2 linked regions of the Oryzias latipes genome follow. The protein of the gene in region 1 interacts with the protein of each later gene in a pairwise test. Links are inferred from orthologs where the notes say so. Each region holds a gene or a part of one and is shown in the gene's direction. Other genes may lie near its edges.

Region 1 (4,761 bases):
TTGAGGCGAAGTAGTCGTGTTTTCTGTTGTCCTTGGATCCAACTGGAGTATTTCAACGCACTCAATGTTTTGCAAGAGAAGCAACAGGCCTGCAACGTTTTTTTTTCTTTTGCTTTTGAGGTGCCGGTACCGTGAGTAAACTGAACTGTGTGTGTGTGTGTGTGAGCGCGAGCGCACGAGAAAAGGTTTCAAACTGGTTCAAACAGGTAAAACTGTTAATGTTCCACAGTTGTTAATGGTATACAGTGACTTTGTTAACTAAAGAGTAGTAATATCTGGGAAACTTTTATTTTGTGACATTTATTTTGTAAATTGGGTTGAAAACCAGTGTTTACCTTTGTTTAGATTAGGCCAAAAGGGGACATTTTGAGTATATTTTAGGGTAAGTGGAGTAATTTAATTTTATACATTTTTTAGACTTACTGGAGTCTAGCCGAATCTTCATGCTGGCTATCGTCATCGGCATCACTAGACCTACTACTTTCTGCTATATCCTCCTCACTTTCGCAAAAGGCTTCGAATCGATACGGTTGCAAAAGTGACTCATCATCATGATAATCTCCGCAACTTTCCTCTTCATCTTTCTGTTCATCTGATGATAAATCGCTAATAGGTAGCATCACTCTGTGCTTTGCTATCGGTGCTAGCCATGTTGTCTGCCTTTCGTTACGTCACAAACATGGCGGCGCGAAGTCGGCGGAATGCGTGAAGCCGGCGGCCGTCCTCGTTGTTTATATCGCGTTTTTCGCTATTCTTTTTCGAAAAATATTAAATACAATCGCAACATGAAATAGAGACTATTTACTATATTTTGGCTTATTAAAATAGGCCATGTCACCCACACTTTAAACTGACAAACATATCAGCGCGCGCCCCCTGGTGGTTTTTCACCGCGATGATCATAAATCCAACACCGTCACTGAAGAGAGACTGAAGCATGTCAGAGATGTGGAAGACATGGCAGGAATAGATAGGAATATGTTAGATGGAGTGGGTGGAATTAGTAGTATGGACAGCAAGATATTTAATGAATGCATTGAAGATGAAACTGTATCCACTAAGCTTTAAGCTGAATGTCAAAGAATCAAAGGCAACTCCAAATACCTGAATCTCAGACTCAAAGGCAGTATAATGTCAAACTACTTCATTTTGGTTTTCTTTACAACACTGTAAGCAATAAGTATTTCTAGTTAGCTGAATGATCTCAGTAATTTAATTTTATTTAATTTTTCAATTATTTAATTTAATTAAGCAACTAAAGTAACTAAAAAGTAAATGTAACTTTGCAACAGTAACAAAAAGCAGAACCTTAAGGCAGTCAGAGCAAAAAAGTCAATAAAACTTCTTAACTATTGATTAGGAACAAATGTGAAATAGCAGTGATTAGAAGCAGCATGAAAACTTCTTAACTAGTGTTAACTACTTCACTCCAGTGCTCTCTTCAAAACATCTGAAACAGACTAGAGCAGATTTAAGTTTGATAATGCTCTATTTTCAGTCATTGAAAAGTGTATAAATTAGTGTTAGATGTCACCAGAATGCACCAAATTGCACCATATTAAAATTTTCCGGGGGCATGCCCCCGGACCCCCCTATAGTTACAAGCACCTGCGGAGCGGCGGGTCTCGCTGTGCGCGGTGTCGGGCCAGTAACTTTCAAAAACTACTGGCCCTGTGGGCCAGTGCAAATTTCTGGGCTATGTCAACCCCTGTATATATACGTTCCGTTTATGGGTTTGGCTTCTTGGAGCCAACGGGTACTTCCTGTTTGGAACACCAGAGGGGAGGGGTGTCTCAGTCCATTTCTCATATACAGGCAACGGCTCTGGTCTATAAGACACCGGACCAAATAAATCTTTCAGCACAAGAGGTTGCATAGGATTAGGGTTTTTTTTTTAAGTCCCAGTGATCACTGAAAAAAAGTCTGTTTTTGCTGGAAAGTGGAAATTTGTTCTCTGAATAGTTCCTGATGTCTGCATCAGTTCTGTGAGTCACAGGAGAGTCACAGACGTTTGTCTCTTTGTTTATATTTAACCTTTTTCTTTTTTTTTAACTTGGTTCTGTGTTTATCTTTGTCTTCATCAATGTGGAGTGATGCAATTTATTTTTTTGTTTAGCCAATCCTCACTAGAATTCGTGTTGGTTCCTGAGCAGTTCTGCTGGTTCTGAAAAGTTGCTGTTGTTCCTGCATCCACACTGCAGAGCTCATATCAGTAAAGATGACGGCTTTCATCCAGGAGGATTATGTTGCTTAACATCGCATACCTGCTGTGGATTTGGAGTTTAAAAATTAAAATATTTCACTGCTTAATCTGACGATGGAGCAGCTGAGCGCTCAGCCGCTTTTGGAGGGACGGACTTGGGTTTTTACATTTGACTTTACTCAGATTTTAATGGGCATATTGTTGAGACATTTTGCAATGAGATTAGAGCTGGTATGAATACACAAAGACCACCTGTGGAACAAACAAACCCGTTTCCTAATTGGTCCCAACGGTTGAGTCCTGGAGTTTTCCTCAGTCTGCTCGGTGGTTTGATTCTGAAAAGACTTGCTGCTCTCCAGACTCCTTTTACTCTTCTACTGGTTTGGTCCAGAACCGGTCAGCCCATCCCATCTGGTTGTTCTGCATATCTTGCATCAGAATGGATGAAATTAGCCGCCTCCTTGGTTCTGTAGGGCGTTCTCGCAGCAACACCATCTCCTCCGATGCCACGCAGTCGACCGGGACCAGACTGGCGCTACGGCACCGGCTCAGCCAGCTGATGACCTGCATGGATGACGTGGAGCTAAAAAATGAGCTACATGAGAAAATGGTGGAGACTCTGGACAGTGCCTTTCTTGCTTGCTCCAAGGTGGCCAAAAAGCGCATCTTCAGGTGGAGAGAAAATCAATCTTCTGACTTTTGACATGTTTTTTAGAGGCCTGATGTTTTCTTCTCCTAGTTCTGTGAGCTGAATGTCTGCTGAACTTTTACTGTCCACTGGATTGGTCGTAGCCGAGAGCCTCCCGAAGAGTTTTTTGAGCTGCCTATGCTTTGGTGAAATAGTTTATGTTCACTATCTGCAGCAGCCTGACCTGCTTGGACCATCATTACTATAGAGGTTCTGTTGTTGCAGCGTTCATGCTGAATCCTGATGCATTTATCTTTGGTTAAAGTTCAAAGTTTTTGTGTTTCTGGTTCCCTTTTCCTCACATTTTGTCTGTTCTTCTAAGTCCGACTCTCTTTCCAAAGTGTTTTTAAAGTAAAATTTTGTGTGCTCTTTTTAGAGATTCCGTTTTTTTTGTACATTGGATGCTTTTTTAGGGGTAATTGTTGGTTCTCTTTTAGCTCTCTCATTTCTTGATCTACTTGAGCTTTCAGTGCTTGAGCCTTTCAAAGGCCACATTGCTAAGTAGCTGAACAATGAAGCCACAGAACCTAAACTGATCAGCGTGAGGTCAGACTGGAAATACTTTAAAAGATTTTCCTCCAAACCCCTTACAGTTTGAGGGGTTTGGAGGTTTACATCAGATCAGCCACCCTGCTTGTTTTTCTCCTGCTCTTCCTACTGCTGATTGGCTGGGCCAGGTGATGGAAAGTTCTGATTGGCTGAAGATACCAGGTACATGACAGTATGAAGACTTGGGAAACCAAGCAGGGTGGGGCATCCTAAGGACCAGGGTTGGGCAGCTCTGTTTTACATGTTTTCCTGTTCCAACACATTTAAATGAAGGAGTCGCTCTCAAGTGACGGTCTGAACCAGGTGTGTTGGATCAGGGAAACATGAATCTCCCAGGGGGTTATGGTTGGAAAGTGACCACTATTCCTTATCTTCTTCCCTCTCAGGCTTCACATGGTGACGTGGAATGTAGCCACGGCAGATCCTCCTGAGGATGTGACCTCATTGCTCCACCTGAACTCATCAAAACCTGCAGACCTCTACATCATCGGGTATTGTGACCTCTGACCCCACCATTCTGTTAAATATCAGACCAGGCTGACATTCGTGACGTTTTTGTTTAGCCTGCAGGAAGTGTACTCTGGACCAGTTCGGTTTTTGTCGGATATGGTCTTCGATGACCCTTGGAGTCACCTGTTCATGTCCACTTTGGCACCGCGGTCATGTGTGAAGGTACAGGTGGTCCGGCGCATGCACGGTGCCTTCCAGGTGTGAGCGGGAACAGATCCATCCAGGTTCTCTATCATTTCAGGTGTCTTCCATAAGAATGCAGGGCCTTCTGCTGCTCTTCTTCTCCAAACTGGAGCACGTGCCGTTCATCAGAGACATACGGGCCACGTACACGCGCACCGGCATCTTTGGTTACTGGGTGGGAACTCACTCTTCACTCAACCGTGTGTTAAACAAAACAATGTTATTTAAATCTTCACTAATGACAAAAGTCAAATATCTGAGCTGTTGCAAAAGATACACATCACATCAACCAATCAGGGACTCCGCTTTGGCCCGTGACGTGTTGATGATCAGCAGGCAGGGTACAAAACAACAAGGAGAATCGGATCGTTCTCCTCCTGAACCTTGTGATATTTTCTTATTTGTACGGAGACAAGACAAAAGAAAAAAGATTTTCCTTTGTCTTGTGCCTTTTATTGGGGATGTCCAAGGGAAGTTTTGCAATTATTATGGGATGGCAACAGAACCTACGACCTGGTGGCCGTTTTGTGGTAAAATATGAAATTAGGCGATTTGTCATATTCCCCCCCCCCCCCCCCCCCCCCCCCGTTTTGTTTGAGTAATTTTCACGAAATTTCACACACGCCGC
Region 2 (4,335 bases), on another chromosome or scaffold:
GTAGATGTAAGAAGCATGAGGAAGAAGCCCACTAACTGTTAATATTCATTAGTTTTTTTAAGTAAAAACTAAATTATTTAATTTAAAACTTGATGTTCTCAAATTATATACATTCATCTTATTATTGCTTAATACCATATATATTTAAACATGAACACATTGCACAGGGCAGGCCACAAAGTACTGAAAATACTGGAAAAACTCACTTTCAGACCCATCATAGTGTGGGATTTCCCTGAGCCTGTTTGCCCATAAGCAAACATGCAGGCGTTGAACCCTTCAAATGCAGCTTTCAACACACCACAACCCAATTCCTGGAAAATCTGAGCAAAACAAAATGCATCAAGAACAAATATGCTGCAAGCACAAACTTTGGTAAAAAATAAAATTAAAATAAAGATCAGAAGATCTTCCATCATATAGAATAAACATGTACCTTCTGCTGGGATGCAAACGTGGAGCTTTCTGTGTCCATGGAGTCAAAAGCAAAGTCAAATGAGAATGTTTTCTCTCTGTCTTTCACCTTTTCCCCTCGCACAGGTGAAGACTAACATAAAAACAGACAAAAACTCAGATCATTGTTGACCTTGTTCACTTCTACAGACTGTTCTCGCATCATTTTGTGATTCCATACCTTCTGAATGGATATTGTGTTCCCCCTAATGTGAACCGTTTTCTTGGATGATAATTGCTGTTCCCTGTGTAAAAAGCCAAAAACAATCAACTAAACATTTTTAAGAACATCAACAACAACCACAGTTGGGTTAAAAAGCTTTTTTTTGACAAAGTTATCATTAGAAGAGCTCAAAAAATATATATTCAAAAACAAAATGTTAAAAAACAAATAATCATCATGAGCAAGAAGAAGTAGTGCCAATTTTTAAGCAAACTTAAATCTACCTTTTATTCAAAGGGCGGACTCGAACAGCCACGCGCACGGAAGACATGATAAAATAAAACCACTCAAAGGAATGAAACATTCAGGTCGTCACCCTTGTCTTTCTGTTTTCTTCAAGGTAATGAATTAATCTTCTTCCACGTGAACGTCGACTAATTATCACACCTGAGGAAGAAAGGCTACTTTTACTGGATGCACTACACAAATCAGGCACTAGGGGGTGCACTGAGCATTGTTTAGTGTGGCATTTGCAGTGTGATTTCCCGACTTAAAAATCTGTCATTAGCAAAAGAAATGTTATAAAATATGTGGTACTTTAGTTTATAAAATATTGTTCTGAATGGTATGATTTTTCTGTAGTTTTGTTTTGGTGGTCAAAGTATGATGTGTTTACATGTTAGAGTTAATGTCTTACAGTATGCCAGTCAAACATACAATACAAAATCCTATGATGATTATTATTTATATTATTCGTTTGTAAACAAGACAGAAAACATTTTAAACTATTTTTTTCCGAAAAATTTGAACGCACCACTTCAACCATTTCCCATGGTGCAGTTGGGTAGAGCCGAGCAGGCGCCGACTTTCAAAAAAACATGGCGGAACCTTGTTTGGTGCTAAAAACGACTCTAGATCCCGAAGTCTCCGAAAATCAATCCGCCGCAAACAGCGAAGACAGCAGGGTGAAGCGGCGACTGTCTTTTCCCTCCGAAAAAGAAATTAGTTCACGAGAAGAACCGAGTTTAACGTACTTAGACCTGAGTTTACAATGTCTTTCTGACGATTCAAACTCTCCTCAACCGACTGACGAGAAGCTGTCAGCGACGGTCCCAAACGGAACCGATGTCTCTTCTGAACAGCGCGAAGAGGACAAAGAAAACACAGAAATTCATCAAGGTAACAATGTCGAAAGAGTTTAGAAGAATTTTAAAAGGAAACACGTTTATCTCATTCTGACTGTTATGTGGTCTTCCTGCTAAATAATTAGCATAATTTGGCTTTAAAATAAACCTTTATATTTTAGCCATCGATTTCTTTACATAAATCTATATGTCAATTAGTTAATATGTCTACCAGGTTACTGTGATGTTGGCAACAGATATGGACTGTTTACAGAAGAGCAACAGGAAGAGGAGGAGGCCACTTCCTGTCAGGAGTCTGCCAGTGAACGCCACTCAAACACGCAGGACAGGGATGCTGAGGTGGTGAGGAGAGCAAAGGAAGAAGGCTGCGTGAGCGTGATCTTCCCCGGCCCCGTGACCCAAGATGGCAGCTACCGTTTTGTCAGCGAGATCCTCAAATGCGTTCTCTACCAGCGGCAGCAGCTCCCCATGACGTACGAGCAGCTCGTGTTCTCCCAGAAGCGGCAGCAGCAGCGAGACGTGGAGGTGAGAAGCACATTTCCAGCCGTCGGTGGCTCTTATAGAAAATTCAAATTGTGGTGTTTCTTTTCAGGATAAAGATGTGGTGAGACCAAGGAAGGTCCACTCCGCAGACGTGGATTACAAGTGTCAGCAGACCCTTCAGGAGCTGGAGGAGGTGCTCCACCAGCTGGAAGTGCTGTTCTCCCTCAGCAGAGTCCCGCGCGTCTTACTGATGATGGGCGGTTCCCTCGTCCTGCCGAAGGAGCTCTACGAGATCAACATGGAGGACCTGCTGCTGGTCGGCGGGGAGCAGGGTCTGCGAGCGTCCTCCTGCCTGAGGCTCCTCTTCCGCACGCTCTTCGTCGCCGACCTCCTGTCCGACTCCAGACCCGTTCGCTTGATGCCCACCACCGTTTTAGCCCTGGCTCACAGGGATTGCGGCGTGGACTGGTTTCGCCCCAAATTACAATTCAAGATTCCCACCCGGGTCAAAAACCAGATCATCGCTTTGGCCACAGATCCCAACGTCTGTGAGAAGCAGAGGGAAAAGGCCGACTGGCAGGATTATGTTTGGTTCCAGGCACCTGTGACTATTAAGGGCTTCAGCAACTAACACTAAAAGGGATTTGGATCATCAGAATGTGTGTCTGTGTGGAATATAAACGAGTGGATGTTTATTTTAGTAAAATGGTTGTTTTTTTTCGCATTAAGATCATGACATTCATGTGCATGTGTGTTGATTATTATTTTTACCTTTGGCATACAAAAGAATGTTTTGTCTTTGTGTGGGGAACAGAATATGCAGGTATTTCCAGAAAACACCAGACATCGCCGCTTGTGCAATACATTTTAATGAACAAGACTTGAACGGTTTGACAAAAGTCGTTGCTTTTGTTATTCATATCTCGGGACACAGTTAACATCCGTTATTCACTGAAAATGATTTTTAACTAGCATCAAGGAGAGCGAACCAGGTGCAGAGAAGATTAAAGCATATTTGTGTGAAGAATGATGAATTACAATTAAAACCAAAAGCATCATGACTCCTGCTCTGCATTTACAGCTTCTCCACTTTCTTCACAAACTGGATGATGTCTTTAGCGAGCAGCTGGGGCTCTTCGAAGGCGGCAAAGTGACCGCCGCTCGGCATGAGCGTGTAGGACTGGATGTTCCGATATCTGATCTGAGCCCAGGATTTGGGACAGTGCATCAGCTCGTTGGGAAACGCCGCCACACCGGTGGGCACGAAAATCCCGGTTCTACAACACAGAATAACGAGGATCAACAGCTTTGAAAAAGAATGTCAGGATTGGAGAGTAAAAGTTTGTGTGTGTGTGTTTGCATACAGGCCATCGATTCTGCTGTTGGGGTCGCTCTTGAAGTTCTCCTTGTAGAAGCGCATGGAGGAAACGATTGAGCCGGTGGTCCAGTAGATCATGACGTTGGTCAGAAGGTCATCCAAGCTGTACTTCCTGTAAAAAAGGATGTTCACTGAAAAATTAACCCCAGTAAATGAGCCTTTACACGTGAAGCCTGAGCTACTGCAACCCGCCCCCCAATTCTCCCCTTGCCACACTGGTTAGAGAAGCACACGACAAATTCATTAAAAAAAAGAAATTAACTGCAGCTTTTCTATTGGTTTTATCTCCATGGCAACCACTTGAAATTCTGGTTGTCTGTCATTGTTGGAAGAATCTGCAAAAAGCAATCTTTTTTTGATTTCCTTAACAGGTTTTTTGTTAACCCCACCCACTTTCCTAATATGTTCGTGTCGTATGTCCTGTCGCCTAGCAACCGTGAGTCCCGCACAGGAGAGGAGAAGAGAGGAGGCATGGAGTTTAAAAAAATTCCCTGCTTATTTGATCCAACTTTTAATCTTGGAGGTGTAATTATTAAAAAGGTGTAATTATCTCCAACTCTGGGTCCCGCTTCACGGTCCGCCATTGTTGTCAGGACAGGTCCAAGTTGGGCCGCAATGCATCTTGGGATATATGCAGTGTAGAAGGACACACCAGACCAATCCTTAAAATCGTGAAAGAGAAGGACGTACTCGGCTGCATTTGAAGGAGTCGC

What was found. The genes of interacting proteins can lie anywhere in the genome.
Region 2: the proteins of inositol polyphosphate 5-phosphatase K (region 1) and mad2l1bp interact in binary tests that used the Homo sapiens proteins (3 or more experiments, as listed by UniProt). The link is inferred for Oryzias latipes from reciprocal best matches to the Homo sapiens genes INPP5K and MAD2L1BP.

Annotation. Positions count from the first base shown.
Region 1 is NC_019871.2:19,609,468-19,614,228, reverse strand, and holds the start of inositol polyphosphate 5-phosphatase K, read left to right. Parts: upstream 1-1,659; 5' UTR 1,660-2,642; coding exon 2,643-2,875; intron 2,876-3,826; coding exon 3,827-3,931; intron 3,932-4,003; coding exon 4,004-4,112; intron 4,113-4,191; coding exon 4,192-4,308; intron 4,309-4,761. UniProt on the Homo sapiens protein: Inositol 5-phosphatase which acts on inositol 1,4,5-trisphosphate, inositol 1,3,4,5-tetrakisphosphate, phosphatidylinositol 4,5-bisphosphate and phosphatidylinositol 3,4,5-trisphosphate.
Region 2 is NC_019873.2:27,031,439-27,035,773, reverse strand, and holds mad2l1bp (MAD2L1-binding protein), read left to right. Parts: upstream 1-1,446; 5' UTR 1,447-1,494; coding exon 1,495-1,795; intron 1,796-2,014; coding exon 2,015-2,286; intron 2,287-2,353; coding exon 2,354-2,875; 3' UTR 2,876-3,305; downstream 3,306-4,335. Other genes in the region: uncharacterized protein LOC101165914, read right to left, coding at 207-323, 437-547, 635-698, 901-980; epoxide hydrolase 1, read right to left, coding at 3,320-3,521, 3,609-3,734. UniProt on the Homo sapiens protein: May function to silence the spindle checkpoint and allow mitosis to proceed through anaphase by binding MAD2L1 after it has become dissociated from the MAD2L1-CDC20 complex.